4 linked regions of the Rhinolophus ferrumequinum genome follow. The protein of the gene in region 3 interacts with the protein of the main gene of each other region in a biochemical or structural test. Links are inferred from orthologs where the notes say so. Each region holds a gene or a part of one and is shown on either strand. Other genes may lie near its edges.

The links.
Region 1: the proteins of UBE2K (region 3) and NEDD4L form a complex in vitro, tested with the Homo sapiens proteins (2 studies listed by BioGRID). The link is inferred for Rhinolophus ferrumequinum from reciprocal best matches to the Homo sapiens genes UBE2K and NEDD4L.
Region 2: the proteins of UBE2K (region 3) and RLIM form a complex in vitro, tested with the Homo sapiens proteins (2 studies listed by BioGRID). The link is inferred for Rhinolophus ferrumequinum from reciprocal best matches to the Homo sapiens genes UBE2K and RLIM.
Region 4: the proteins of UBE2K (region 3) and ANAPC11 form a complex in vitro, tested with the Homo sapiens proteins (3 studies listed by BioGRID). The link is inferred for Rhinolophus ferrumequinum from reciprocal best matches to the Homo sapiens genes UBE2K and ANAPC11.

What each region holds. Positions count from the first base shown.
Region 1 is NC_046302.1:47,055,673-47,063,683, reverse strand, and holds the start of NEDD4L (E3 ubiquitin-protein ligase NEDD4-like), read right to left. Parts: upstream 3,004-8,011; 5' UTR 2,731-3,003; coding exon 1,624-2,730; intron 1-1,623. UniProt on the Homo sapiens protein: E3 ubiquitin-protein ligase that mediates the polyubiquitination of lysine and cysteine residues on target proteins and is thereby implicated in the regulation of various signaling pathways including autophagy, innate immunity or DNA repair.
Region 2 is NC_046284.1:371,562-379,286, reverse strand, and holds the start of RLIM (E3 ubiquitin-protein ligase RLIM), read right to left. Parts: upstream 3,018-7,725; 5' UTR 2,832-3,017; intron 952-2,831; exon of another isoform or gene 893-951; intron 1-892. UniProt on the Homo sapiens protein: E3 ubiquitin-protein ligase.
Region 3 is NC_046288.1:14,523,905-14,531,708, forward strand, and holds the start of UBE2K (ubiquitin-conjugating enzyme E2 K), read right to left. Parts: upstream 3,013-7,804; 5' UTR 2,809-3,012; coding exon 2,746-2,808; intron 1-2,745. UniProt on the Homo sapiens protein: Accepts ubiquitin from the E1 complex and catalyzes its covalent attachment to other proteins. In vitro, in the presence or in the absence of BRCA1-BARD1 E3 ubiquitin-protein ligase complex, catalyzes the synthesis of 'Lys-48'-linked polyubiquitin chains.
Region 4 is NC_046304.1:54,669,750-54,677,274, reverse strand, and holds the start of ANAPC11 (anaphase-promoting complex subunit 11), read right to left. Parts: upstream 3,011-7,525; 5' UTR 2,869-3,010; exon of another isoform or gene 2,745-2,868; intron 2,556-2,744; 5' UTR 2,545-2,555; coding exon 2,436-2,544; intron 1-2,435. Other genes in the region: ALYREF (THO complex subunit 4), read left to right, coding at 3,256-3,492, 3,937-4,068, 5,477-5,624, 6,190-6,253, 6,353-6,527, 6,622-6,636. UniProt on the Homo sapiens protein: Together with the cullin protein ANAPC2, constitutes the catalytic component of the anaphase promoting complex/cyclosome (APC/C), a cell cycle-regulated E3 ubiquitin ligase that controls progression through mitosis and the G1 phase of the cell cycle.

The sequences.
Region 1 (8,011 bases), on a different chromosome or scaffold from region 3:
GTCCTTCATCTCTAACTGCACAAATGATATAAGTTTTTGGTAACACAATCGAATAGTCATCAAAACGTTAGGAAATGCATTTTGCTTGTCTGTTTTCCTGTGGTAGGTGGTCCAAGGTCAGCATGGACGTGTGCTGCCCAACAAAGCCCATAACTGTCACGATGGTGCTTTCTTGGGGTCAAGGTTAAAAGCTCTTATAATATCAAAATTTTATTGAAGTTTGAACCACTGTATAAAAATGGTGTTGGTTCAGACTGAGACACAGCACTAAGCCATTTCCTAAGAAAGGGGCTTAGGGAAGTGGTAAGAAGGAATAGTTATATAACACCAAGAAAACTGTAACATTTGCCTTTAGCATCTACCCCTTCCAAAGCGGTGAAGACAAATGATGGAGCAGTGATCAAGTGTACTTGAATGGCCAAACATAAAGCAATAAAAGATGATACAATTCTATAGTAACACCCAGCCGTCTACTTTGAAAAGTCACAATTCATAAACGAAACCCACACAAAAAGTCCCCAAGACATTTCATAGTCATATATGCAAACCAGTAATCACATGAAATTCGGGGGTGGGGGTGGGGGTGGGAATCCAATTCAAAAAGATAAGGAGCTTGTTCTCAAAAAAAAAAAAAAGAAAAAGCTCTTAATGGCTAGTGATTACTAGCAAAAGAAAGCTAACTGCTAAAACTTTTCATCCCACTACAAACTATGAAAGCTGCCAAGTCATGATTTGCCCGGTGGGGTTAGCAGCTGTCTTTCTGTACTCCATTTCACGGAAAGGGAGAGAGCAAGAACACAGGAACAATAAAGGCTAAAATTTGTTCTTGGGCATCTGTGTCCACAGCTGGAGACAGGGCACTTACTATTCTATATACAGCATCCCGGCTTAGACACTCAAGTGGGCGGTGTGAAATGGCACAGCCATGCCATCTGACCATTACCAAGTCCCTGGTCAGTGTCTCTTAGCCAATTTGCTTCAGAAAATGCATTTCTTACTGTCCCACAAGTGTGACTACACTCGTTCAGTTTTAAGGGACAAAAAAATCCAAAAGACAATAAACGATGTAACAAGGGCTGACCCTCTATAGCAAAAAGGCCATTAGGAAGAATTGGTCACACTTGTCCTACATTTAATTATGAAGAAAGTAGATTGAAGTTTTTGGTGATACTCTTTCACCTGTATTTAGAATTGATTTTTTTTCCCAACGAAAGTGTTGTCATGGACTATATTTGCAAATCACTTTTAAATATATTTCCAATATCAACGTCTTGGGGCACTGGCAGATTAATTCAAAGCAATAAATTTTTAAAATCTTCTTATTCAGAAGGGGGAAAGGGGTGGGGGAGGGGACGGGTTGGATTTTCAAAACAGACAGAGTTGTCTGGCTTTGAGTAGTAGTACCTAAAGGAAAGATCTTTTCTGCAATGCTAACCAGTTTCATGGAACTCGACCAAACACTAGAGCACAACTTGGCCACCGTTAAGTTACACTGGCCCAAAGCAGGGAAACTCCCAGAGGGAGGAGGATGAAGTTTATTTTAATTACACTACAGAATAAGCTTTCTGGGCTTGAATCAGTCCCTTCCGACGGGCGGCCACATCTACACGCACGCTAACTTACCGGGGCTCCAGCCACCATGGAACCAGGCCTGGTGGTGGTACTCTCCTCAGGATTCTGGTGAGCTTCCTCTGGTCCCCGAGTCACAAGAATTCTGAAATGCTGCTGTCCCGCATTTTGATCTTGCCTGATCTTAAACGTGCAGCCCTGACCCTGTGGCGTCCTTTCCATGGAATTTGTCCTGTGGATTTCGGGAGCCACCCTGTGGCCCCGAGGTGGTGTCTCTGGGTGGCCCCGCTCTTCCGTGGGGCTGCTGCGCTCCGCTCGGGGCTGCGTGGGGTACGAGGTGCTCCTTTCCAGTCGGATGCGGGGGTACCTCACCAACCTATCCCCCTTCGTGCCCGTGAACCCAAAATTAAAGTCACCACCTAGTCCTGGCACGCCTGGTGATGGCTGCTGCAATTGGAAGACAAAGCACCGCTTCCCAGAACTTCCAGAAGCATCTGGAACGTGTTGCAGGGACCAGCGCCTGGGTTCCGGCGCCGATGGGCTGCCCTGGCCATCGGCCCCGAACGGTGTCAGCTTCACCTGGCGCACATCGGCGCTGGAGGCTCGGTGCTGGATCCGGAGCCCGCCACCCTCGGAACCCTGGGCGGTTGCAAGTTCGGTCTCTTTGAGGCCATCGGCAGGGACAGGGCCCCGCGCTTGACGGCCACACGTGCCATTGACCTGGGGGCCGGCACCCCTGGCGTCCCTGGGAAGGGAGTTCTCAGGGGCCTGGGGCTCTGGGGGCTCCCGGCAGCTGCCCCGAGATACCGAGCCCGCGTCGCCGTCCAGACCCTCGGACAGCCCACACGTGTCCGGGGCGCCGTCCGCCGCTTTGCGCTGCAGCGAAATCTGCACCGACGAGCTCCGGGTGGGCCGCGCGTCCACGGGACTCAGGAGCTGCGGGATGAACATGGACGTGCTGCGCTCGAGCGCGCCCACAGCCTCGTGCAGGCTGCCGCTGGCCTCCGCTCCACTGTGGGCCAAGGGGTGCGGGCCGCTCCTCCGTGGCAGCGTGTGGAATGCCATGAAAAAGTCGTCTTCTCTCTCCTGGTCGAGGATCTCTGATTCGGGGGCTGTGTTGCTGCGACCAGAGCCAAAATGAAACCGAAGCCGATGGGCCATGGTGCCCGGCAGGGCAGGGAGGGAGAGGGCGAGCAGCAGCAACACGCCCGGCGCTGCCAGAAGTCAAAAACTGAAGACACAAACTCCAAGAAAAAGAGTCCCATCTGCCAAACCGTTAGCACTGCGGCACCGAGAGCGACAGATAGCAGAAATAACCCAAGTGGCGAGCGGCATTCCAGGCATGATTGGGTAAGAGCAAAAAGCTCTCATCCACACTGTGACAGAGGGTAGGATGGCCAGAACCACATGACTGCCGTCTCCCCCTCCAATGCCAGCTTGTGGACTTGTAGTGGAGTTTTCCCCCTCTCGCCTTTTTTTTTTTTTTTTTTTTTTTAAACAGCAAGAGCCTGAAACAGCACCTTCCCAGCTGCTGCTTTTCCATCAGACAGGAGTGGCCCCAGCAGGGAGCTCTCACAGCTGACTAAGCAGCAAACACACTTGGAGCCATGCTGCTATCAATCTGAACCGCATCACATTCACAAGCCAGTTCTTTCCGAACACAGCCGGGCACCGAGAACTCTCTCTCCCCAATGCAGAGACCTGGCACTGAACACACAAGCACACGCGGTATTTCCCCACCGCCCCCGCAGAACCAAATGCCGACAAGTAAAAATGCCTTGGCTCTAGGAAAACCTGTTCCCAATCCTCGGAGGTTGTGTTCCTGTTATTTATGATAGCACCACACTACCCATGGAATGCAAACTAATAAAACGTACTATAAATACGGCTACACACCCCACAGAATTACTGTCCCTTTAATGCCAGATAATTAGACCATGATCTATAAGTAACAAAATAGCTAAGTGGAGGGGGCACAACTTACAAAAATGCCAGTTAGTGGTCTGGCTCCCGCTACTACAAGACTTTTCACGGGAGGGCGGTGTTTTGATCTCACACATACAGTATGATTGTCAGACATGGAAGGACCAGAGAAAAGGGACGCAGCTGGAGAAAACATTTTCTAACATATGCCAGATAGGAGAAAAAACAACTACGCCTCCCCCCACACACACCCCAAAATAAGGAAAGGAAAATTGAAGAAGGGTGTACATGTGGTTTTTGTCGTTAAGTTCAATACCATACAGAAAAAAAAAAGGCTGTCCGGGGCTGACTGTTTTCCAGTAAGAAGTCAGCAATATGAACACAGTTGGGATACACACATGGAATGTTGCTCTTTTTGCAAAGGGCCAAGAAGGAGCTAAGAAATAAAAGTCCACATTCAAAAACCTGTCATCAGATTTGTAGTTAACTTGGACAGATTCTGTGTGTTTTAAACTTACTATTTTCCATATCCAGCAACATCAGTTATTTCACAAAGAGGCTTATTTAGGACCGAGTAAAAACTAGGAGGGGAACATAGCAAGCTGCAAAGAGTGACAAAAAGTTTATTTTAACATCCGCAAAGCATGACTTTGTCAACAGCTCTGCAGTGCAGGGCGTGGAGGATTAACCCTACGTTTACATACAACCAAACCTGTTTGCTAAAGGCATGTGTTTTAAATGCCAAAAACGATCTCTATGAGAGAAATGGATGCTAGTTTGTTTAATGCTAAAACTGCCAAGTGCCACTACAGTCCCGTATTGTCTTAGCTGGATTAATAGCCAAAGGAAAAAAACACCAGCAGCAGCATTCACCGCATAGTAACAACACTGGAGATGGGCTGGGGCAAAGCTAGGTATTAATATCATGAAACAGTTTTTCAGACTAAGTTTGTATTCGCACAGGATCTCGCCAAGCTCTGCATTCAAAGCCCTTTGTGGTCTGCAAGTAACAGTTGAAGGTCCACGGCGAGGTCATCCCAACAACAGTCACTGTATTAGATATTGGAAATGGGAACCTTAAATTGTTTGACAGTGAATTTCTCTTAATGGAAGAAAATGAAATTATTAAGACACATCTGACAAGAGGCCATTTTCCCTCAAATTTGACCCTTCCTTCACCTTGAAGAAGTGTTATCGTACTCAGCAAATGAGAGAATGAGGATTAGTCTGCAGGGGCATCTAGGTCACCAGCGACTTAACTGTCATTCTACTGACCACCACCTAATTCACAGTCTTCCCTGGATGGAGACAAGGGGCAGAGAACAGCACCCTCAGCAGAATCTCTCATTCATTCAGTTTAACGAGAAAATAAGTTCACACACACCGCGAGAATGATTTAGTTATGTGGGATGACTAATTATTATCCAAGGTGTAAAATGTTGAGTTCAGTACAAAGCCACCAAGAACCCAACTACATTTTTAATAGAAAAGATATCAGGGTGGTAAGCCAGAATCTGTTGGCTTTCTAATCTGGAGACTAATACCAAGCGTAGGAAATCAAATACATTGCCAAATTCTACAATCAGGATAGAAAGCCTTGCTATTCACTACCACTGGCCTGAGACTAGAACAGTAGGTTCCAGCAGGGCGTTATAACTCACGGACAGGTTTAAATTACGGAAGAGGTCTGGACAGAATGGGGATAACTGAGTTGTATTATGAGGCGCCTTCCCATCAAATATTCTATTCATCTTAAGCTATTCAAAAACTGGGGGGTTTCAGGTGAATTCCTGCAGCAAGACGCATTCATAAGAACATTCACTTCAACCAAAAAAATATACGTAAGTTTCAGGGAAAGTAAATTTGAGTGACAACTGACTAGAGCTATGGCACGACTTCTGAAGAGTAAAACTCAAAAGCTTACACATAACATAGTGACATTCATTTTCATAGTTGGAACACGTGACTCACGGGTACTTGATGTACACATTCTAGTTAACTGGCAAAATGTTGAAAGCCGGATAGGCTTCTGAAATTCCATTTCTAAAACATAATCTTACTTTTACCAGTTATATAATGATATATATCTATATCTTACTTACCTATCTATCGATCTCTATATAAAATGCTAGTTTGTATCAGCTTTATGCTTCAGGTGTAACTTTGGTTCGTTCTTTAAAGGAACTTTTTACTAATTTCCCTTGAAAAAGTACCACGTTTAAAATACAGCTTAATTTTACCTGCTAAATATAGACTCACTTTTTTCTATTTACTGTTAATTAGATTTTTATTTTCCCGAAGAGAATCACTATAGATTCACTATTGAATAGGTGACAGTATTGTAGTCTGTCTTATAGTTAAAATCCCTGAAAGGTTCGTTTACATGAGTGATGGTCTCTTCACAGATTTGCCTGCCTCTCTACGTTCCCAACAGAAGAGCATCAGTATATGGTTTAATATATCAGCAATGTGACTTTCACCAATATTTCCACTACGATAAAAACGTGCATATATATATATATATATATATACACACACACACACACACACAAATAAAATTTCTGTCCTAGACATGCAAAAATATTTGTTGGAATCGTGAACAAGTAACGGAACAAAAATAAAGTCTTTTGAGGGGCATATATACTGTCAGAAGTACAACATAAACAGAGTTTGAAAAGATACTGTTCTAAAAAAATAAGTTTTTAAAAAAATGAAGCAAAAATGAAAAACTGGGAACCACTTACCAATCTGTTTTCATCAAATACTTCAAACAGGAGTCTGTGATTCGACGGGTTTACCTATAGGGACATAAACAGTATTTCAAAAATGGGCAGAAAGGATGAAATAAGAGACAAAGAATAGAGTGCCTTACAATGCACCCAAGTGAACTGCACAATCTGAACAGCTGACCCCTTCTGGAAATCCTATACCTACTACATCAAGTTTTCTAGTATCGATTCCTATATTGCTCTATGTCTAATGTTTAGGCACATGAGAAGAAAAGGCTTTTAGCTGCTTTTGTAAAATAGGAAAGGATAATTCTAAAGAGTTTCCTCAATCTTCTCTATAAAAACATGCTGGTGCCTGTACAACCAAGGCTACATCTTCACGAGGTCAATACCTCAGGAAATCTCTTAGGCCTAATAAACAATAATAGAACTAATAATAGCAAAGATAAAAATAATGAAAACAGTAAAAGCAGCTATTTACTACTGTATGCTTATCTTATTTTTTAGACACTATCTTCTTATTAAATATCAGAAACACATGATGTCATTTAATCATGACAGCAACCCTATGATGTATAACTGTCACCCCAATTTTACAAATGAGAAGCTGAGACCATGAGGGTGAAGTATGCTGCCTACGAGTCCACAGGAGTATGCAGGGCCACCAGAACCCCAACCAGATCTGACCTGCTTGTCTCCAGAGCCCATGTTTTGAACCATTCAAGAGACAAAGGAAGAAAAGATGGCCCCACGTCCAGCAACCACGGTGTCAATGTCAGAGCTACTAGGCTTTCAATGTCTTTTTGCTTCTTTCTGTCTTTACTAAAACCTCCCCAAAATGGCAGGAATCGTCATGCAGACTCAAGTATCATTTCCTGAGTCCCAACCATGTGTGAGACATGGTGGTGAGCGTTCTCTTTTACACCATGACATGTAAATCCTGGAAACAGCCTATGCAGTGAGGGCTCTCTCTCCTACATGAGGGAGAAGGAACCTGCAGAGAACGCATGTCCTCAGGTGGCTTTTCTGGAGTCACAAATGCTGTATGTGGCAGAGCCAGAGATGGGACCCAGGTCTACTGTTAGTAAGTCTCAGCTGCTTTATGATGGAGAGTGGAATGAAATTACGTTTGATGGTACAACACAGAGCAGACCACTAGTGCTTCTGGCCCTGGCCAGCCCTCAGCCTAGTCATGGAGCAAGGAGATGGGTTTAGTGTCTAGGCTCTGTGAAGAGTCATGCTGCTGAACAATGCATCCACAGGCCATGGTAGGAGCTGGCACACAGGAGGCGCTCAATAAAGATTTGTGGAATATAACAAAGCCCCTTTAAAAAAAAAAAAAAGCCAAGAAAACTAGAGTTTACAGACGCCTAGGGAGCTAAGACCAGTTGAAAAAAATTGTGTATGTACTAAAATTCACCTAAATGTGGCTGAGGTATTAAACTGAAAGCTGACGAAATAATTCACAGTTTTACAAGTGGAAAGCTCTACCTGAGAGTTAACTAAGGGTCAGTAACATCTACCTGCCCCCATTAGCTTTTCGGTCCTTCGCGAAGTAATTTTAAAAACATCTGGCAGAGACTATACATAGGATATCACCAAGTATTGAAATGTCAATGCCATATTTTAGCTCTGAACATAATAGAAAACAGATGTATGTAGTGATCTAAGTTTGCAGCACACATAATATTATTGTGGTTGAAAGAAGAAATCAGGACCAATTATAAGGGGTCTGATGGTAATACTGTTCCCTTGGCAAACTTCACTAATCAGATCTCATCTGGAGCATT
Region 2 (7,725 bases), on a different chromosome or scaffold from region 3:
CTTTGCATTTCTGATCTAATTAGATAGCAATTAAGTCTAGAGGCATAAAAGTTTAGTGACTTCGGGCATCAGACAGACCTGGGTTAAAATGGGGACTCTACCACTTATTAGCTATTTAATTGAGGACAAATTGCTTAATAAACACTTCTCGGAGTCTTGGTTACTTCTGTAAAAGAGTTAACATCCTCGTGAGGCTTTGCTGTGATGATTATAAAACCATGCATGTGAAGTACAGGACCTAGCACATAAATATTCAGTACTAGTTGGTTTTAAATTTGGGCTAACTACCCATCCCAGTTTGCCTGGGACAATCTTGTTTGTGCCTGTTGTCCAGGCATGATTAAGAATAACGTCCCTTTTGCTCTTAAAAGTATCGCAGCTAGGGCAATAAATTATGTGGTTACTTTAACAATGATGATGAAAAGAGTTAATACCAATCAGAGTATTATATATCAATTATATAATTTTTCGATCTTGAAGGAAAAAATAGGACACACAAAATAATGTAAGATTATATTCCTGTAAGATATTCTACTGACATGTTATTTATTCAACAAACATTTAAACACTATTTATACCCATCCCATTCCAACAATGATTTAATACAGCAAATTTCTATTTTGTTCCTTCTGTTCTATACAGGTACTGGTAAACTTCAGACATTATTTTAAAAGAGGAAAATTCACAGATAAAGCACCAGTGAGTTCCAGCTACTCAGAAACACTACTCTATGAATTACCAGTGAAAAATATCCATTCTCATCGTGAAAGTATACGCAACATCAACTAACATATATCAAATAAGCCCATCCAATTACAGGGCCTGCAAAACAGATTTTAAAACACACATTCTACACATAAATCATCAGGAGACGCAACAAAAAATAAATTACCTGACTTTTATGACATAGTATTGTAATACAATAAACTGGATTTTAGTTTTCTTCACTCTCTGCTCTAGGGAAAAAAAAGAATCCATTATTCTTCCTCTTTTATAAGACAGACATTTTCTTTGAAACAGACACATCCTAAAAAATACACATCCTACATATTTGTTACACAGACACACACCCCATTACCCAACCTAATTCAACATTAGTATTGATATTTGGGGAGACTGAGAAGGTCAGAGGGAACCAGAAATATAAGATTTCCTTTAAAGGCTGAGAGTCAAACTACCTTTTAGTGGAAGCTTACTTAAAATAGGCCTTACCTTATCAAACCTGTAATTATTTTCAGATTCGACTTGTTACTTTCAAGGACTTATTCGGCACACTACAGTTACCTCTGTAAAATAGTACTAGGCAGTGGCAGTAACTACAAAGTATGAAAGATCATCAGGACATCTTAGGATAAAGACTTTGAAACATTTTTCTGTAAAAAAAGAGGGTCCTAAAGACTTTGAAACATTTTTCTGTAAAAAAGAGGGTCCTAAAAATCACATTTTAAAGCGTTTAAATTTGTCTTCCTGGATACTTTATTGTTACAATGTAGAAAACTGATGGGGGAGGGGGATGTAATTGTGCCTGCCTGCTCTCAAGTCATCCAGGATGGACATAATATATCTGATGGAGTGATATGAGTAGTTATTTTGTATTTAAACACGAAGAGTGAAAGAAAGATTAGTAGTAGTACTACGTTTATTTCTTCCTCCCTTCAATCACTCAAAGCCATTGCGGTTAATTCTGATTCAGGAAATGCGGGCTCCTTATTTCCAGCAAAAAAAATTGTTGTGGGCCTTGCAAATGGTGGATGACACCCTGATATAAATGCTTCCTCTTGCCCCAAAACGAAAGAATGACCTAAATAACACGCTTGCTAGGCCTCAGATTCCCGGACTAACCTGTGGAATAAGTATGGTGAAACTGTCTAGGGAAGGAACGTGGCTGTCTCCTCCATCTTGAAATTAATCAGCATAAGGGAAAAAGGGACTGAGTGTTCAGGAAGCAGAAGCCCAACCGGTTAATACTAGTTACTAAAGCTATGGCGTACGTGGCAGGTACCGCCCGCAGAAGCTGAGACCCTTAGGCTTTTTTTTTTTTTGAGGGGGGAGGGGTTGGGCTGTTGGCTGATTGAACGGAAATTAACTTGAAAATCATTTGGCCCAATTCCCACCCTTTCCCAGGGAAAAACAACAAACACGCAAAGGCTTTTCCCTCTCTTCTCTTCTGGGGGGGGAAGCGGGGGGTCCTTGCGATGATATCTGGCAAAGGATACGCCGGGGTTATTCGAGCGAGGGAGTAAACCACATTTGCCTCAGATCCTCAGGGAAGATGTCATCATGGCCTCAGGGGGCGCCTAATTGATAGTGCCCTGAAGTGCTCAAAATGGGCTTTTGCAAATCCTGGGAAATCTAAAGGCCCAAGAGTTCCCAGCATCTGACTTACAGCAGCCCGATTTTCCCTTTTCCCAAACCAAGCCCACCATGTAAAAGGGGCGGGGAGAGGCGAGGGAAGCTTCCACAGAACCGAGGAGAAAACCCCGAAACCAGGAAAGATCGTCACGCCTGAGGCCAACACTCGAAAGTCGCCTCCCCCCGTTCCAGAGGCTCCGGAGGGCCCCGGCTGCGGCTAGCGCGGCCACGGAGAGGAAGTCCTACCCCGCACCTTCCTCTTCTTCAGAGCCTGTCGACCATACACCCAATTAAAATGGCAGCGGCGACTACGCCACGGAACCCCCCACAGCAACCGGGGCCTGGGGTCCGAAGGAGGAGCTGAGCCTCGGCCACGACGCAGTACTCAGGCCATTTTGAGGAAACGCGGCAGCCGAGGCTCCGCTGTGCTCCTCTCGCTCTCCATCCCTTTCAGAGAGGATTCCCAAGGCTTCACTTACTGGGTTTTAGTGTCGGGATCCGACTCGGTCGGTTCGGCCGCCGCCGCCGAGGCCCCTGCGCGCCTCCCCTGTTGCGCTCTCAAGCCCGCCTCCGCTGAGTCGCTGCTAGAGACCCGCCTCTAGCCCAGCGCCTGCTGCGAGACGTTGCTCAGGCAGCCATTATCTCCCCCATTGTTACCAAGCAGCGACCGGAAACGACTGCCCACAACAGGAAGTGATGATGCTGCGTTCCGGCCCCGCAGCACCCCCCAACTCCCGCCTATTAGCCAATCGCAGGCGATTCCTCGAAAAGGCTCGGCGGGAGTAGGAGGGGCACAGGCCGACGCGGCCGAGCGGCCGAGGTCGGGAAAAGGAAAGCTGCTGTGACGCCCACCATGTGACAGGCCCCACCTTCCTCCGCCATTTTGAATTGTGGCGAGAAATTCGCGTTCTGAGAATTGTGGGAACCTTCGCTTTCCCATTTTGAAAACTGAGGGACCCAACCCTCTGAGTGCTTGAAGCCTTTTTCGGAGACCTAGAAATGCGATATTAGTCCAACCTGAGGTCGCTTCACTCGATGAGTCCAGATCAGTTCATACACATCCTACCTTTTGTTCAACATGTTGAACATTTATTGAGCGCCAACTGTATATCAAAAACAATTGAAGATGTTGCGGATGCAGCGGAAATTAAAACATCAAAATACCGGCTCTCATGGAGAATGAGAATATAATTGCTGGTAAATTCTGAGGAGAAAAAGCCGGCAAGCCAGGGGAAAGGGGTGGGAAGTGCACGGTAGGGGAAAACGAGAACTGCAATTTTAAAAAGAGTGGTCAGAGATGACCTCTTCTGACAAGGTAACTCTGAAATACTTGAAAGGGGGCGGTGATTGTGAAAGGGTGGGAAAATCTGATAACGTTGGAATTTGTGAAAGGGCAGTTAAGGAAGGCCTTTCCTAGATAGTAATGCCTGAAGGACACTAAAGAATGAGTCACACAGAATCCAACTCCCGTTTCCCACTTGAAGAAAAACGACCTTACCCAAGTTTTTAGGGTGTTGCCATGTTTCTTTTTCCATTTTTCTATTTTCTGTGTTTTCAAGTAACACTCCACCTACACGGGCATTCTTATGATTCTTCCCCCTTTACAACTTTACATAGGCTGGAATCTTTTGCCTTCATATTTTTCCTCTCAAACAAGTCTCTTCTCATTTGTCGTCCCCCCAGAGAAAACTTCCCTAACCACCCTATTTAAAAGAACAGCTTTCCTACCCTACCTGCTTGATTTTCTCTCAAGCACTTAATCTGAAAAGATATAATTTGTTTACCCCATAAGAGCAGTAAACCTCTGTTTTGTTCACTGTTACCTCCCCAGGCAGCTCAAATATTTGTTTGAGAGAATGACTCCCCTCAGCATGATGGCCATTTAATCAGCCTGGAATATAAGTATTTCTCTCCAGTTACCCCAATTCCCTCGTACACACTTCCCGGCTCAATTTCGCAGCAGACTTGAATCATCTTATCATTTTTGACTGTATATGTGTATGATTTAGGTGCTGTGTCTCTACTCAGTTTTTATCTTATATTACATAATTATGTACTAGAACTTTTATTTAGAATGTGTAAAACAAATTCTTCAGTGACCTGCAATGCTATTAAGCCCGATATTGAGCTTATACTAATAACATTAGCCACTCCTTGATATATTGTTAAGGCAGATGTGTCTTGCCATAAAATATAAAGTCACAAAAGAAGTAGAAGAAAGTGTAAGTAAATATGTCTATAGCCTTAGGGATATCGAAGAACTTTGCAAACATGACACAAAAATCCATGAAAGGAAATACTGTTAAATACAACATCATAAATAAAAGTAAAGCTGCTGAATGTCAAAACACAAGGTTAGTAAAATTAAAAGACAAATGACAAACTGAAAAAAATAATTTCAGCATGACATATGAGAGCTAAAGGGTAATACTAGTTTATAATAAAAGACAAATGACAAATTGACAAGAATATGATAAACTTATATGGCCAATATCACAAGTCCATAAAGAGGTACTATAAATCGACTTTTTAAAAGATTAATACCTCATTTTAAAAATGTGCAAAGGACATGGATAGGCAATTCAAATAAGGAGAAAATATTTGGCTGGTAAGCATATAATATGTTCAAACTCACTAGTACTCAGAAATGAAAATAAAAACAGTAATTCTCTTTCTTGCCCCTCAGAATGTCAAAGATTAAAAAATTGATAATATTAAGTGTTGATGAAGATCCTATGAGCTGGACACACTTGTATGCTACTGGTACAAATTGACATGACATTTTTAAAGGCAATTTGGCAATGTGTATCAAAAGCTTCAATATATCCATACTGTTTAACCAACAAGACCACATACAGAAATGTAACTTAAGGAAAAGAAGTGGACAAGTTTGCAAAGGTTTAATCATTGAAATACTGAAAAATCAGAAAAATAACTATTCAATATTTACTTTTATATTTACTGCAAAATCAGAAAAATAACTATTCAATAGTAAATACTTTATAATACATCTACATAATGGATTCCTACGTCGCCATTAAAAATGAGTAGCTAGATCTAGAAATGTTCAGGTATATTGTTAGTAGAAAAAAGTAATTTACAGAATGGCATGTGTGATTCTATTTTTATATTTAAAAGATATGTGAAAATATGCATAGAAAAAAGTCTAGATGAATATATATGTAAATAAAATGTGAAGGGATTGTTAGTCGTTTTAACTTTCTTTACCTCTTTCTGTGTTGTCTTGAATATATTACAATGTGCATGCATTACTTGGTATTGGGAGGAGAGGTCATTTCCATTTTTAAAGAAAAGTCTGAATATGGAAAAAAAAAAGAATATCTCTCCATCCATTTATTCCTTCAATGCTTCATTCGCGCATACTCCTCCTTCTTCCCTCCCTCCGTTTCTTTCTCTTTCATACTCATTTATAATCAAGGAGCTGCTTAATTCCAATATCTAGGAAATGACTTCTCAAAACAATTTATCCCATGATGGCATTCAATGCCACCTAGAACTCAAGGAAGTAACCACTGAATAATTATCATTCAGTTTTCGTTCAGCCTAATTGCATTTCTCTCCCATGCATTTTTTACATATGCGTAACTTTCAAATGATTTTACCCCTTCTGGATGAAATGTCCCTTAACAGGAAAAAAGTAAAAGAAATTCCCAATCTTCCTTCTGTTTGTTTATTCATCAAAATGTATTGATCGTCTACTATATGCTGGTCACTGAGAATAGATCAGTAGACCACAGACGAGAAGACCCTGCCCTTGTGGCAAGACAGACATTGAACAATTGTTTATGAATGTAATGAACACTAAAAAGGCGACATGTGGGTAGGGTACTACGGGAGAGGTATATAAAAGGAACATTTAACGTAGAGAAATTGACATTTTTAACTGAGACCTGAGCTGAAGGAAGAATGATAGTTAGGGAGGGCAGGCAGATGAGAAAGGAGGCCTGGGAGAGGGAATAACCTGTACAAATTCCCTGGGGTGAGAAAATGGAGCCTGGGGAACTGAAAGAATAGCTCATTCTGTAGAAAATCCTCCCAATTTATTTTCTTCACAGCACTCATCACATCGGAATTTATCTTGTCTATTTGTTTATGTTGTTTATCGATTGTAGTGTTTATAGTCTATCAGTCATCCCACTGACCCGCCCCCAGTGTTAAGTTCCGTGGGAACTAAGGCTTTGCCCCACCCCTTCACAGCTGTATTTTCTGAGCCTAAAATACGTAATAGACAATCAATATTTTTGGAATCAACGAATTAGCTGGTAGTTCACATTAGATACTTAGGAGCTTTTCCTAAGAACAATGGGAAGTTCTTGAAGAGTTTTAAAAAGATTGTTTAAAAATGATTTCATAAACTTTTTTTTTTTTTTAAAGATCTTTATGGCTGCTATGTGCTGGAGAGTGCTTTTTTTTTTTTTTATAGTGGACGTACTCACTATTTTAAGATTCCAAACTCCTTTATCTTTAAGAAACTCGACTGGTTTTGTTTAAAAAAAATGACACCCACAAAATAGATACTGCCTCTCATGGCTATTACAGCAACAGTGAAAGGTCTCTCTTTACATTCTATGCTTCCCGGGAATAGGTTGGTACAAAAGCAATTGCAGTTTAAAAGGTTAAAAATAATTGCAAAACCTGCACCAACCTAGCAAAAATAACCTGCCTGATGAAACAATGTCAAACACCTATGTATCCAAACATGAAGGTTTTAGAGGCTCTGGTATAGAAAGCACAGAGCAGTTTTCTAACTCATGCCAAAACAACCAGAGAGTAATCTTCCTGTAACAACTTAAGTGCAATATAGCAGAAAGAAAATAGAAGGCTTGGATTTAGAGAAGAAATACCCATTTTATATCTCCAATTAGTAATCTATTTTAATAAATAGCTTATTTGTCATTTAATTATTTAAACTGTGAAGAATAAAATGTTTCAAGTAGACTAGGAAGACTATGCACTGTCTCTGGTATCAAACAATTTTGTAACTAGTTTCTCTTTGGAGATAGGATAACTCTATCCCTGCTTTTTCATTCGACACATCAGACATGTGCACACACTGCGTGCAAAATGACTCATCCCATAGGAAGGGAGATGTAACATGTATTGTGCTCTTTAAAGTTACTATCTCTGATTCTGGATGCCAGAGTCTGGATGCCACTTTTGAAAAAGAACCTTCTACAAAAAGTACACAGTAACACAACTATCAGTATACTAAGACACAACTAAATTTCCTACCTTCTCCTTTGACCCAGAACTTGATTCAACAAGAAACCTAAAGTTACAAATAGAACATCAGACAGGCAGCAGTGTAGCTGGACTGGCCACTTTCCATTAGTGTGAAGTTGAAATCGAACA
Region 3 (7,804 bases):
GGATCTTTTGGTGCATGTTGTCCCAGACATCCAATTACCAACCTGTGATTAACCTTTTCAAATATATATATATAGATATATATATACATCTCACACACACAAAACTACATCTATATATATCACACTATATATATATATATATATATGAATCTGTATATTTTCCCCTTCTGATAAAAATGGTGGCCTTCACACTATTCTACACCTGGCCTTTCACATTTGCTTTATCTTAGAGGCTATGTTTTAATTAACAACACACTTCAAGAATGGCCAATTATAACTTTTTATGGCCAGAATTCAGCAAACATTAGCAATCGTTACAAAGGCACTTAAAAGCCGCCCCCCATCCTTAAATCAACCAGTATTCTTAGTAAACACAAGCATAAGAAATAAACTTTGGTAAACTGGAAATTTACACAGGTGACACGAAAAACTTGCTTACTAGATCAACCACTCAAGATAGTGCATTTATATACTTAAAAAGGAAACACATGGACTGTACTATAAATCCCTCAATGAGTTGAAAATAATTCACTTACAGAACTGGCCCTACTAAAACACAGGTGAAATAAAATATTGGAGCCAATAAAGCTATTTATTGGTTATATTGCAAAATTAAATTATCTGACCCTTTCTTAAATGTACTTTGAAACATACTTTCCAGAAGAAGATTCCTTCCAGATTTATAAAGGTACGATTCTTTAAAAAAAAGTTTGTGTTTGCATTTCCTGTTTTCTTCCTCTGAAACACTAAGACACTTGAAGCAAGGCCTCACTATCCCTTACATATAAACAGCAGTATTATTTTAACAATATATGCATTACTATAGCAATACAAGATTTCTTTTAAGGTTCAATTTAAGTATTAAGAATATCACAGTGAAAAGTCACTGCATACAAGCAGAGACCATATAAATCACAAGAGCAGCAACTTACCACTTTTAAGTATTAGAAAATAAAGCATTAGAAGTTTTATATTAAGTTTCGGGATTGTACAACCTTATTATAAAAGGAATGTTTTAGGCTGTTGGTAACAATATTAGCTGCAATCTTTCATTAGGAACATATATGTCAACTATCCTGGAATATGTCTTCTTATTAAATAAAAAATAAAATCATTGTTTCACTGTGTATCAGTACATTTATGACACTATTTCTGCAATACAAAATACAAAGTCATCCTTCCATTCAGAATTTTGGCATATGAACAAACACAGAGGTTTTGCTCTGCAAAACCGATCATTACTTATATACTACACTCAATAAATCTAGTATTTGTCATTTTTTAATAATTTTAAAGAATTACTTTCTCTAACTGGAAAAATACATAATCAGTATAGACTCCGTAGCAAAAAAAAAAAAAAAAGCTCAAGTGCTACCAGATTTATGTCAATTACTCATCACACACTTAAAGAGTAAATCATTGAGATTATCAAAGTACCAACGTAAGAGAAAAATACAAATAGCAATGATACGTTTAATAATGGCATGTGACATCTTGAAAATAATCATTTCAGTATTGCTTATTAATTTTTGTTTGTTAAATCTAAAGAGGAAAAACAACCTGGTATTCTTGTTGATTTGGGTATGAAAAATTTTACTGACACTTGCATGGTTTTGAGTCAAATTCCTAGAACATTTAAAATATCTTATATAAATAAATGTGGCTAACACTAGAGCATCTAAATTCTGCAGAACTCAAGAGCAGATTGAGACAAAAATTTTTTAAAAATCATTTCAGATATATTATGATATACCTACTCACTTGATAAGGAACTATAACAATGTATTAATGTGGCAAAATCCCATGTGTTTAATACGGCTGTTTTTTAAAAGTAAGAATTAACTATGAGGCACATCATAATGAAGTTTCATGGCACAACACACTCACAAAGGCATTGTCTTAGGAGAGGCTTTCTGATCTGTAACTTCTGTAACTTGTAATATTTTGAAATAAGCTTCTCATACACTCCCATTATTTTTTCCTAGCTAAAAATATTTAAATGCCTTTCATACAAAAAACAACTTGCCTTTACCCAGTCAAAAGCTTTAGGTGTCAACACAAAAGAGGCCTAGGAATCGGAGGTAAATGAAAATGAGATAATGGTCTAGATTGGAATTAATTTCCTATCTGAGGTGAAAATTCCCTTATCCCCCACTCAAATACGATAGTATCCCATTATGTCTCCTCTTCTCTCCCAACACCCAACCAAGAGGGAGTAACTCTAAACATCCTTCTCCTTTCATCGATAACTAGGGACTTCCTTTAAGGAAAGGACAGTGGAGGCCAGACAGGCTATAACCAAGAATACCCTTAAAAGTGTGGGCCTTTGAGCAGCGCGGCTCTCCGGATCCAGTTACCACCTTTCCCCTTCCCCCAACCCACTTCCCGGGTTTTCTCAGGCTCGGCCTGCTCGCTCCCCACCACCCTACAGCCACACTTCCAGCTGTTGCCACTGCCCCGGGGTCTCTCTAGAGCTCACACCACCAAGTGCCCCCTTCTCCATCTGTCCCCCCCCCCAAACCATGTTCCTCTCCACACGACCCGCCAGCGAGACCGTCCATCCCAGGGCCCTGGGAGGGGAGGGGAAGGCGGCGGAAGGAGGGGGGAGACTGCTGCTTCCCCACAGGCAGAAGGGCGGCCGCAAGGAGGGCCACCCGGGGGTTACCGGGGATATTGGGAGCCGCCGCTGGCAGGGCCCTCCCGCCCTGGGCTGAGATGGGGGATGTCCCGGAGTTCATTTCTGACCTCCTCGCTCTTCAGCACCTCCTTGAACTCCCGCTTGATTCGCTGCACCGCGATGTTGGCCATGTCTCCGCCCGCAGCTGATTCGTACCCGCCTCCTCCGCCACCGCTACGACCACCGCCACCGCCGCCACCTCTTCCTCCACTGCCTCCTCCTTCGGCGATTCACACCCGAGCACACGAACACTGCCACTGCCACCCCGGCCGCCTCGCTCTCTTCAGTATGGGATCACCTCCGTGCCCGGCCACCAAAATGGCGCCGGCCCCGCGCATGCGCACGACGCTGACCCGACCGGGCGGCGCAGCCGCTACGGTTGTAGCCCCACACGCCTCAGCCGCGAGCCGGGAGCCGCGAGCTCCGCGTCGCGCCGCGCCGCGCGTCTCTGCCGGAGCTGCGGCCGCGTGGCTCCGCCCTGCCGGCGTTTGGGGCCTGGAGGGTGCGGCTTCCGCGCTAGCCTGCCATACTCCGGCCTCCCCGGTCGTCTCCTCTTCCTCCGCCTGTCTTCAAACCTGTATGGTATGCCCCGGGCTTCCAGCCCCCAGCCAAAGGCTGGAGTCCAACCTGATGGGTTCGTACGGCCCCAGTCGGCTTAGAGCACTGCCCTGAACTCAAGCAGACCCACGGGCTTAATGTGCTTGGCTCTGTGTATGAAAACACTATCCCAGAACTCAGACCGGCCGGTTTTCTGCTGCTTATAGGCCCAGAAAATCCACCGCTGTCCGTTTTTGTTCTGAAGCCATTACAGAGCCACTATTACGATCATGCCAGGTATTACAAATCATTGAATTAAATATGGTCTTTGTTGGGTCCCATGCTCCATGGAGATGTTTGAGATGGTTTTAGAAGCCAGATGTTGATCTTTGATCTATTTTGATAATACCTAGCTGTGGAACTAAAGCCATAGTTTTTAAATTTGAGTATACATCGGAATCCATTGTTTAAAAAATCGGATTGTTGGGCCCCATCGTTGGAGTGTGGGGTAGGCCTAACAATTTGCGTTTCTAACAAGTTCCCAGATGCTGCTGCTCCTACTCCTGGTTCAGGGACCACACTATGAGAACCACTGAACTAAAGCATGTGAAAATAATTTACGTGTATATTAAAGTAAAAAATGGAGAAATAGACGTTTTCCGGGGAAGAAGGGCAGCTTTACTTCTGTAAGTCTAGGGCCTACAACAATATCTGGCACTAATAGGCACTTAATAAATATTGAATGAATAAATGAGTAAAGAGTAAAATGTTTTAAATGGAAAGTAAGTTTGAAAGGCAATGTGAAGTGGTTGCGAGAGTTTACGGTAAGTAATATGGTTTTGGTGATTCGATAGTTTGAATAAAACATTTTAGAATAATAAAGGTTACTTAGAAGTTTATATTTCACGCACTTCTTTCACTTAACCAATTAGTAAAGTACCCTATTAGACAAATATCACAAATACACTGTCTTAGCAAATATTACTAAGATTGTGGCAGCAAAGAAAGGGAATAGCCACAGGGAGTGAATCACTCAGTGGAGGCACATGGCAAAAAAGATTTTCTGGAACCCCTGCCACAGGAACCAAGAGGATATTTTTGATTCCAGCTCTCCTCCATGCCAGCTCTCTTGGCCAACTTGGTTTTCTCACCTGGAAAATAAGAAAGCTGGATTAGGTGATCTCTTTCAAGTTTTTAAAGTTCAGAATTTTAAAGCATCATGGGGAAACCTTTCCCTAAACGGACTAAAATAAATTATAAAAACCCTTTCTGCAGAGCCCCCTAGTGGTCCTAAGAGTAACCAATTATATACGTGGGTCATGGTACAATGAATTATATATTTGTATATACAATTGTATAATTTATATTATATAAATCGTGCAATGCTATGTGTATTTTTTCCAGTACATTAAAAATAATTGTGAAGGGTGCAAATTTTTTTGAGTATTTTACATGTATTACTTTCAGTCCCCAGTCTTAGAACTTCAAAGAAACTTGGAACATTCAAATCACAAGAGTACTAGTTAGAAGGGTTTGGTAATTTCTTTGAGGGAAAGGGGTTTGATAATTTTTAAATGCACATAATCATTGGCCTTGAAATTCTACTTCAAGGAAGTCATTCTAGAGAGTTTTTCCAGAGAATAAGGCAACTACCTATTAACTGATAGGAGGCAATCCTAAAAATACATTTTAAGGGGGGGAAAAAAGCAGTATGCTAAATGTAATGTGGTATCCTGAACTGGACTCCAGAACTGAAAGGACATAACTAGTGAAATCTGAATAAGTTATGTAACTTAGTTAATAGTATTGTACAATGTTAATTTCTTTGTTTTGACTAAGTATTAGGGTTATTTAAGATGTTGACATTAGTAGAAGTAAGTAAAGAGTATACAAGAATCTCTGAAACGTCTCTAAATCTAAAATTATTCCAAAAGAAAAAGTTTACTTTTTCAAAAGCATGATGCAATCCATGTTGTATATAGAATACCACCATATGTGCGAAGGAAGAAAGGAATATGCTTGTGTATATAATACTTGTGAATCCATAAAATATCACTGGAGAAATACATAAGAAACTGACAACAGTGGTTTTCTCTGAGAAAGCAGCTTAAGTTGCCTTGTGGAAGGCAAAGTGGGAGACTTTTCACCATGTGTCCTGTTGTATATTTTATCTATTCAAAACTAAATTTTTAAAAATGAGTTTCCAGTAATGCAGATTATATGCTCTTCACTGTTAAGATCTAGTTCTGATTAATTATTTCATTAAGTAATTAATTAATTAAGCAACTATTTATTGAATGTCTACTATGTGCCAGGCATGACCTAGGCCCTGGAGGGATATCAGTGAACAAGAGACAAAGAAAACCTGGAATTGTGGGATTTACATTCTAGCAGGGATGGGGAGAATTAATTTTAAAGTATAGTCTGCAGATACCTGGGGGCCCCTGAGATGTTTTCAGGAGGCAGTCTGCAATGCCCAAACTATTATCATAATAAAACTAAGACATTACTTGCCTTTTTACTGCATTGACATTTGCACTGATGATGTAAAAGCAATAGTGGGCAAAAACAATTACTGTAGTAGTAATAATTTTATTAATACCACATACGATTAAAAAATGCCACTTTAGAATGTTTTTGGTGAAGCAGTAGAGATTATTAATTTTTATTAAACTTAAACTTTTGAGTACATATCTTGTTAATATTCTGTGTGATACACGTGAAGGATACATAAAGCTCGTCTGCTGTACACCAAGATATGTGGCAAAGCACTTGTGGAATTGGTTGAGTTACGAGCTGAACTAGCCAATTTTTCATAGAACACCATTTTTACTTGAAGTAATGATTGAGACAAATTATGTTCATTAGGAGTTGGGTATTTGGCAGATATTTTATCAAAAATGAACAATGTGAGCCTGTCACTTCAAACTGGAAGAATTTGTTGCCAATGATAACATTCAAACTTTCAACTGAAAATTATAGTTTTTGAAAACACATCTGCCACTTTGACTTGACAGCTTCCCAATACACTTTAAGACATTTCTGATTAAATTGGTGGTGATATTAACAAGTGAGATTACTTGAAACTGTACAAATGTTTTAACATTTGGAAGATCTGCATAAATCAGTGAACCAATATTTTCCAAATGACCAATGCATGATATTACAGAATTCATGTAAGGGTAAAACATCCATTTAAGGTTTGAGAGAGACCAGTGGATTTTAATGTAACAGTACAAAAAGTTCATTGATAATGTTTCAGATTCCACATTGCAACTAACCTTTAAGAAACTACCATTTGTTTAGATTTATCGTAGTATTAAAGAAGAATATCCACAATTGTCTGATAAAGTTATTAAAATTTCCAACTATGTATCTGGATGAGGCTGGATTTTCTTCATATACTTAAGTCAAAGCAACATAGGCAACATTGACTGCAAAAGCATATATGAAAATTCAGCTATGTTCTATTAAGCCAGGCATTAAAGAGTTTTTGTTAGGAAAATATAGTTATTTTTTACTTAAAATATATTATTTATGTGAGCATGTAATGGATTTATTATAGTTATTAATAAGTGTTTCAATAATTTGTCAGTTTTAATTTCTAACACAATGTTGTTTAACCCTCAAACAAATACTCTTTGGAATTCTCAATATTTTTGAAGATTATAAAAGAAACTTGAGTACATTTAAGTATACTGTACTGCTTAGACGTAAGGCTTAAATCTAAAAAGTCACACACTTTCAGAATAATTTAGAAAAATGTATATATGTAAAGGTTGTAAAATTGGTTTTAGATTGATGGAGGAAAGTTAATCTGGTAACTCTTCAGTTGTCCCTAACAGAACAATGTGTTTTGATGTGTTGATTCACATAAAAAAATACAGTAAGGCATAATAATGTTTTGCTGACCCTTGATAATAATCGCCAACATTGGAAATGTGAACGTCTTCCTTTTTGTATAGCTCCTGCTATTTACTGTTACTGCTCTTGAGATTCAAATTTCCTGTTCTTCTAAATGCAGAGCAATATTTTTTTCTATGGCCTTTCCTGACCTTATGTTTTGCCAGCTTTTGGAGACTTTTTTCCTCTGTCTCTCACCACTGCCTATTCCACTCAAGCCTCTCATTTAACTCTCTTTTTGAAACACCCAGTCATAAATTTGAGATCATTTTGCTTTTTTCAAACCCCTTCACTGAGTTCTGCCCTTTCCATCTTGTTAGCTCCTCTCCCCTACCTTTTCCCAGCTCTAGCAGCAAAGGTGGAAAACAACATTTAGATCCACAGTTGAACTTCTAAACTTAGCTCCAGGCCAGTAGGCACCACGGTATTGATTGTAATTACACTATATCCCAAATGTAGAGAATTGATCAGAACTCCCACTATTGTGGCTTTCAGAATTATCTACAGTGTGTTGTGGAAAGCTGGTTTTAATAGCACAAAATATGTTTCCTTGTCTTAAGTTACTGATTAGGATCCTGTCAGGCACAGAGATTCTTTAGATGGGAGTCTTTTTAGGAAAGGATTTCATACTTCCACTCTGTCCAAGGAATATGCAGCTACAAGTGGAACATAGCTATGGGGCCTTTA
Region 4 (7,525 bases), on a different chromosome or scaffold from region 3:
ACACTACGGCCGAGCCATAAAACAATGCTCTCAAAACCCCACTTAACAACCGCTTGCACAGAACAAGGGGCTAGGAACACGGCCTGCACTCTCCTCCAGCCTCTCAGCACTCTGCAGCCTCCTTGGCACCCCATCTCAGACAGGCGGCCGGGGTGGGTACTGGGTCAGGGACAAACATGGGCTCCTAAGTACGCTTGGCGTCTGCTGAGCACGCACAGTTCCCCACCCAAAGGGCACAGCCATCCACCAAGTCATGAGGGAAAGTGGCCACCGCTCCACCTTCTCATTCACTTGTTCGGGACAATGTTTCTCAACCTTTTAAAAATCCTTTCTAAAACAAAAATGTCCCTTGCTTCCTGAGCTTTTATGACAAAACCACCAGAAAATTATGTGCTCAGCAAATACAAAACATGTCACTCACTCTCCTTCCCAGGCCTGTGCAGGAGGCCACACTGTGTGACACCTGATTTAGATTAGTTCCCACCCCCCCCCACCCCGGGCCCCCCGGGCCTTTCCAACCTCAGAAGAAAGAACGCCCCTTGGAATCACCATATAAAAAGTAGAGTCCCTTACAAATAGAGGATGGAAAACCATGAGCAGGAGCCTGCTAGCCGCCTGGTGGGGCACCCGGCCACCCAGCCACTGCTGCAGAGCACGTGGACAGAGGAACCTGCCGGGGGCACGTGTTGAGCACACGAACACCAGGTCGGTGGCTCCCCCAAAGGCCTGCTAGTGTCTTGATGGAAGTCCTTTTTAGTTAAAACACCCCTCAACAAGACTTACTCCCAGAGCCCTCAGGGCCACGGGGCAGGTTCATCATAGGCTCAGAGGCTGTCGTTCCGCACAGGAGCTCCACTTCAGCCACAGAAACCCAGTGCCACCTCAGCTGTACAGAAAGCACCTCATGCTCATCAGGCGCCTTGAACTTGACAACTGGCTCACTCCACAGGGTCCAAGGATCAGACTCTGAACCCCTACTCTCGCAGCTGGCAGGCCCACATGTGGAGATGCCCAGCCACAGGCCCAGCTGGAATAATACTGGCGGGCTCCTCAGGCAGTGCAGGCCCAGTGGTGCCATCTTTATACAGGCTCACTAGCTCACACTGACCAAGGGCACGGCCACAAAAATGCTTTTGAGGCCTTTTCAGAAAGGAACAATCTGCTGCATAGAAAGTTGCAAGGATTTGCTCCTTCCGGCTCCCACTGTCTCTGTGGTACCCTCAGGAAGGGCGATTTAAAAATAGATTAAATCAAACCAAGCCTTGCGCATCGCTGTTCTCATTAAGTGAAACCTGATCAAGTAGAGCCAATCAATGAGTTCCTAAGATTAAGTCCCACCCATTTGATTAAATCAGGATGGACTGATTCCTGGGTAATGAGATCTCTTTTCACCCAAAGCAGATATAAAGATTAAGCCTAGAAGAAAAAAGTATTTGCACTAAAAGTCCATGGTTTACATTTCACTGTAAGAAGCAAAGCACGGTTACTGTTCTGGGCACTCATGTAGCCCCACGAAGACCTGGTCATTCACAGGGCAGTGAGGAGCTCCTCAGGAGTCCCCAAGCCCCCCTTCCCTCTTGGGACCGCCCTTGTACCCTAGACAAAGCCTTGACCCTTGCTTCTGCTTTGGGTTCACTTGGGTCTGACTAAAAAACTCAATTCATTGGTGCAAAAATCTGCTTTTGACCTAAATATATAATCAAACATTCCTACTTCACAGAACATCCTGACGACAAAGGAACAGGGCAAAAGACATCACAAAGAAGAAATCCAACAAAACTTGATGGTAGGCACTCTGCAAGGTAACACGTGGGTTTCCTCAAGGAGTCAGGTGTCTTTAAAGGGGAAAGAGGGGCGGGGGAAGGGCTGTTCTGAGTAGCTAAGGAGCAGAGTAGTGAAACGGGGAGTCCTGGTTCAGACCACTTGGGGAAGAAGACATTTGGGGACAACCGGAGAAATCTGAATGTGGGCTAGGGATGGGCACAGGTGACACAGAGGAATTCTTAGGTTGTCTGATGTGACAACAGTAGCGTTACATTTAAATGCGACTGAGTGAGTGGGGGGAGGCAACACATGAAGCGAACATGGAAACGTTATTCACTGTTACTCCCTGTGCTCAATGGAGGGCGTATCCTTCTAATATTCCTTTTCTTGTTTGAGAATTTTCAAATGAAAGGTTTTAATGCATCTCTTTGTCCCCTGAGTTTCCCGGCCCAGTTTGATCGTGATAAAAGGCTGTACTGTTTCTCCTTACAAAACTTTTGATGGTGTCTTTATACAAATATGGGCCCAAACCGCCTACCTTTTCTCTGCCAACTTTTCTTGAGAAAAGGGAGACCACAACCCAGGGACTTTGTGCGGGTATTTCTGGGGGAGACAGCACCGCCAGGCGAGTAAACAGAGCTCAAGACACAGCGAGCACAGGGGACACTCACAGTCCGGGCAGCAGCCATTAAAGGCCATCCGGCAGATGCCGCAATTCTCGTCGTTGGCCACCCAGAGCCAAGTGGCCACGCCGTTCCAGCACTTAATCTTCACCTTCATGACGGAGGAGCCTGCGGGCGAGGGGAAGACATCACCTGCTGCCCTTAGTCTGCAGAGCGACAGCATTTAGACACCAAACAAGGGATGCTGCCCGAGGCAGAGGGTCGGCTCTGAGAAACCCTTGTAGCCACCGAGAGGGGGAAAGGCGGCTAAAGGGGTCGCCCGTGGGAGGACCGGAGCCCCGGATACTCGCCACGCACTCAGGGCATCTGCAAAGACCGGCCAAAGGGCGCGCTGGCTTTCGCTACTAAACTGCCACAACGTGCCATACAGCACTTCTTGAAGGACATGACTAACTTGGGGGTGACGGGCAGAGACTCGAACCTCGCTTGCTGTGAGTTCACGCGGGAAACCACCACCCAGCCGGAGTCGCCCGAGGGGAGGGGCGACGAGCCCCGTTCCGCCCCGCCCCGCGCCCAAGCGGACTTAATCGCGCGCAGCACCGCCCGCCTTCAGTTGGCAGCGCCGGAGCCCGCGCGCGAAGCTACAAAAACTACCGCGGCCGCGGCCCGGGACCTGGCAGTGGAGCCCGCTGACCCCCCCCGCGTCCCAGTGCGCACGCGCCGCCCCGGCCCCCACCGCCTCCGCCGGCCTGCAACCAATCGGCGGCCGCTCCGAGAACGCGGCACCGGAAGGCCCCGCGCGTCGCCGGAAGTGACGCGCCGGCGTGCTGACGCGCGGGCTCGAGCCGAGGCCGATTCCGCGCCCGCCATGGCCGACAAAATGGACATGTCTCTGGACGACATCATTAAGCTGAACCGGAGCCAGCGAGGCGGCCGCGGCGGGGGTCGGGGCCGCGGCCGGGCTGGCTCGCAGGGAGGCCGCGGCGGCGGAGCACAGGCCGCCGCGCGAGTGAGTCGGGGCGGCGGTCCCATGCGGAACCGGCCGGCCCTCGCCCGCGGCGCGGCGGGCGGCGGTGGCAGGAACCGACCGGCGCCCTACAGCAGGGTGAGTGCGGAGGCCGCCGGCGGGCCGCGGCAGGGGAGCGGCGCGGCGGGGCGGCGCGCGGCCGAGAGGGCGACGGGCCGGGCCGGGCGGGTGGGCGCGGGCGCGGGCGCTGGGCCGGGCGGGAGGTCGCGCGCCGGCCGGGCCCGGGAGGCGGACACCCTCCCGGCCTTTGTCTGGCCGCCGAGCCTCGTGGCGGCAGGCACTGAGGGGACGTTTCCGCGGCCACACCGGCGGCGAGAAGTTAGTTGGAAAAGTCGCGGGACGTGGGGCCCCGGCAGGGTCGACTGCGGCTCGGCGCGGGCGGGAAGCGGAGGGCTTCAGGCCCCTTTCCGCACTTTCCTCCGGGCCCCGCTGGGAGAGGGTCTTCCAGGGGCAGTGAGGGCGAGGGGCAGCCCTGGAATGCAACTCACGGGTTTCTTTCTGTTGTGTGTTTTCCCCCTTCAGCCGAAACAACTTCCTGACAAGTGGCAACATGACCTTTTCGACAGCGGCTTTGGGGGTGGTGCCGGCGTGGAGACCGGTGGGAAACTGCTGGTGTCCAATCTGGATTTTGGAGTGTCGGACGCTGACATACAGGTAAGAGACAGGATCCTGTCGGTCGGTAGTTGACCCACGCGGAATTGATGGCGTTTGGGATGTGGCCCTGAATCCCTTCCCACCTTAGGACATTGAGCCCTCCCAGACACCCGAGGGCTAGCCACTGTCCCCTGTCAGGGGCTGCTAGGGTGGAGAGCCGAGGTCATGCTAGAGCTGAACCTGCAAGGAGTAGGTCCATTTGTGCTGGAAAACAGGCCCCCAGCCTAGTGTAAGGAGCCGCTGCCCTCCCTTACTAAAACCTGTTCCGTGAGTGAGGTTCTCTGCCAGAGCTTCCCGTTTCTAACAGGAAAAGACTGGTCAGACTCGCGTGGTTCCTGTGTTACTGATGGAGCTGGGCTGCTTGCTTGCTTTACTTTGTGCTTGTTTTCATGATTCGTTGAGAGGAGAAAGACCTACCTCTGTAGAGGTGACAGCACAGAAGCAGGCCAGGGCGTCTTTCTGGCTGTCGGCCGTGAGCCCTGTGTCTTACACGTGCCGGTCCACTCACCACCATCCCTCAGGTCTTGTTAGTAGCATGACTTGCCGACCCATCTTTGGTTGAAGCCTCTTCCCGCCCCCCCCTTTTTCTTTTTCTTTTTTTGATTGAACCTCAAAGGCATTTAAACCTATTTTCTGGTTAAATGACAACATCTTGGGGGTCAGTCCTGGAGATGGCCGGGTCAGGGTTCTGGGCCTTCCTGGGTTCAATTTCCCAGAGCCCAGCTGTGGGAGGACAGAGCAAGGCTGATGAGCACTCACAGTGTCTCAACACTTTTTTTAAGGTGGTTTCTGGCATCCACTGGAAACCGCTTTTGGTGAACTCCACTTCCCGCTGTGTGCCTGCGGCCGGAGTAGCCCCACACTCTGGGTTCCCTCTCCAACTCCCAGCCTGCCTGAGGTCAGGGCAGTTTCCATGGCAGCGCTTGACTTCAGACTTTGCGGCAGGCTTGAGTAGGAGGAGAGGGAAAGGTGAGCCAGAATCTGCCCCGGGGGAGGGGCTGGGTCAGGGCTCCCGAGTCAGGGCCCTTGGAGCTGGTCCACATGTCAGACGGCGCCCCTTGAGCTGTGGTCTTGGCCTTTGCTGTTTGTTGGCACAGTCCGTGGGTGTGTTGTACACTTTCCTTTGCTGAAGGAGATAGTGACCTCATGTCGTGCCCTGCACTGATGGGCTTTGCGGCCCTTCACCTGCATCGTGGTACAGATGTCAGGTCCCCAAGTTGGCAGGAGCCCTCAGGCCCAGCTGCTCCTGGAGGGGGCTGTCCCACCTGCCCCATCCTTGCCCCCATTTCCCACTACCACTGCCCTGCCCCCAGGGAAATCCCCTCAAAGTAGCTCACACTTCCAGGGACTGTCCCTGGGCCAGCAGAAGGAAAAGAGCCCGCTGACAGTTGCTGTTTCTAACTCCCAGGAACTCTTTGCTGAGTTTGGCACTCTGAAGAAAGCGGCCGTGCACTACGACCGCTCCGGACGCAGTCTGGGAACAGCCGACGTGCACTTTGAACGGAAGGCAGACGCCCTGAAAGCTATGAAACAGTACAACGGCGTCCCTCTGGATGGTGCGTTTGGGATTGGACCCAAGAAGACTGAGGGGCCACGCCTGGTTTGTGGAGTTGGGGCTGGCACCCGTCCATGCAGGAATATGGCTCTCCCCTCTGGCTGAGGACACTTTGCACTCGCCCCTTTGTCTCTCTCCCACTCTGCCACTTCTCACGCTGCCCCATACATGTGGACCAACCTCTTGTGAACCCCCACCAGCAAGCTACATCCCTCCCCTCGTTCAGCTCCTTCGGAAGACTCACTCCTGTGAAGCCTTCTCAGCCGCCAGAGTACACCTCTGAGTGCGGGGCTGTAGTCGTAAACAAAGGTACCAGCTCTCCTCCTGGCAGGGCGCCCACACCGTTCCGCCCATGAGCAGCCTGGACACCTGACCAGACACCCTCCTAAGCTGGACTGAGGAGCGAGGAGGTGGTGGTGGGTTGTCGTCGGCGCCGTCTCTTGTCGCGAGCGATCGAGACACGCACGGCCCCTTCCCAGTGCCTGCATGGAGACCGGGGCGTGGTGCCCTGGGTGGGCGTCAGAGGTCTCTAACAGGAACGTGCCCTCTTGTATTCTTTGCCACAGGCCGCCCCATGAACATTCAGCTCGTCACGTCACAGATTGACACACAGCGGAGACCGATACAGAGGTGAGTTCTGGGGCCTCGGGGCCGGGGTTGGCCTGTGGTGTGATCGCTCAGCCTGTGGGCCTGGCCACGTGTGTGAAGGAGTCTCCTTTCCCTCGCTAGTGTGAACAGAGGCGGGATGACTAGGAACCGTGGTTCTGGAGGATTTGGCGGCGGTGGCGCTCGGCGAGGCGCCCGTGGAGGCAGCCGGGGCAGAGGCAGAGGCACGGGCAGGAGTTCAAAGCAGCAGCTTTCCGCAGAGGAGTTGGACGCCCAGCTGGACGCTTATAATGCGAGAGTAAGTCCTAGACGGGTCAGAATGGGGGCCAGCCAAGACCGGGAGGGGTGACTGGGACCTCTTTTCGAGCAAGAACCTCTTTCCTCTGTTTCAGATGGACACCAGTTAAACAGACCAGCAAGCCTGTGCACAGGACAGGCTCCAGGCGGCTCGTCCATGCTCCCTGGCGGGAGGGGCTGGCGGGCTGGGGCTGTGTGGCCAATGATGAAGTTTTCTCTTACGTTTTAAAATAGGATTTAAAACTCATGTAAAGGTTTTTTTTTCCCTTTTTTTTTTTTTTTTTTTTAATTCTGAAACAGACCTGTTTTGTACTGAGTTATTTTTGGGATAAATTTTACTGGTTGCTGTTGTGGAGAAGGTGGCATTTTCGCCTTCGCCATAATAAAGTAGAAGTGTGTGTAGAACTGGAACCGTCCGATTCGTCCTACTGTTGGAGTTCTTGTCTAGGCCAGAACTTTGGTGTCGTCCCAGGCAGGAGGCAGGCACATGGGACCTCGGGGGTGGGGACCAGCCCTGCCTGGCATCTGGCGTCCTGGCATGGGGGTTAGTGCTCCAGAGATGGTGGCTGCCTCTGTGTCTGCCCGCTGATCCTCTGACCAGACAGGTAAGAGGCACAGAGCGCAGTCCCTCTGCCTTCCCACTGGACCATGAGGTGAGGGGAGGGGCACCTCATGTTGCCACCCGCTCGCTTTCAAGCGACCCTTACCTCTGGCTCTTGGTTCCCAGAAGCCTGGCTTCAGCAGCTGACGGCAGCGTACGGCGTCACGTGCTCAGCCTGTCCGTGGGCATGGAAGCAGCAGGTGGAGGGTGTGCTCTTCACTGTGCTGAGATCACTTTGGAAGCTCTGGCAGAGAACAGGAGGGCCTTGTGGTCACATCTGCCCATGTGGACACTCGAGCAAGCTAGGGCCACACGTGGGGTGCAGTTTAGGAGGGGCCGACAACCCTGTGGGAGTCTGGGTGTAGAGACACACCTAAAGTCTCTTCGGTCTCCTGCCT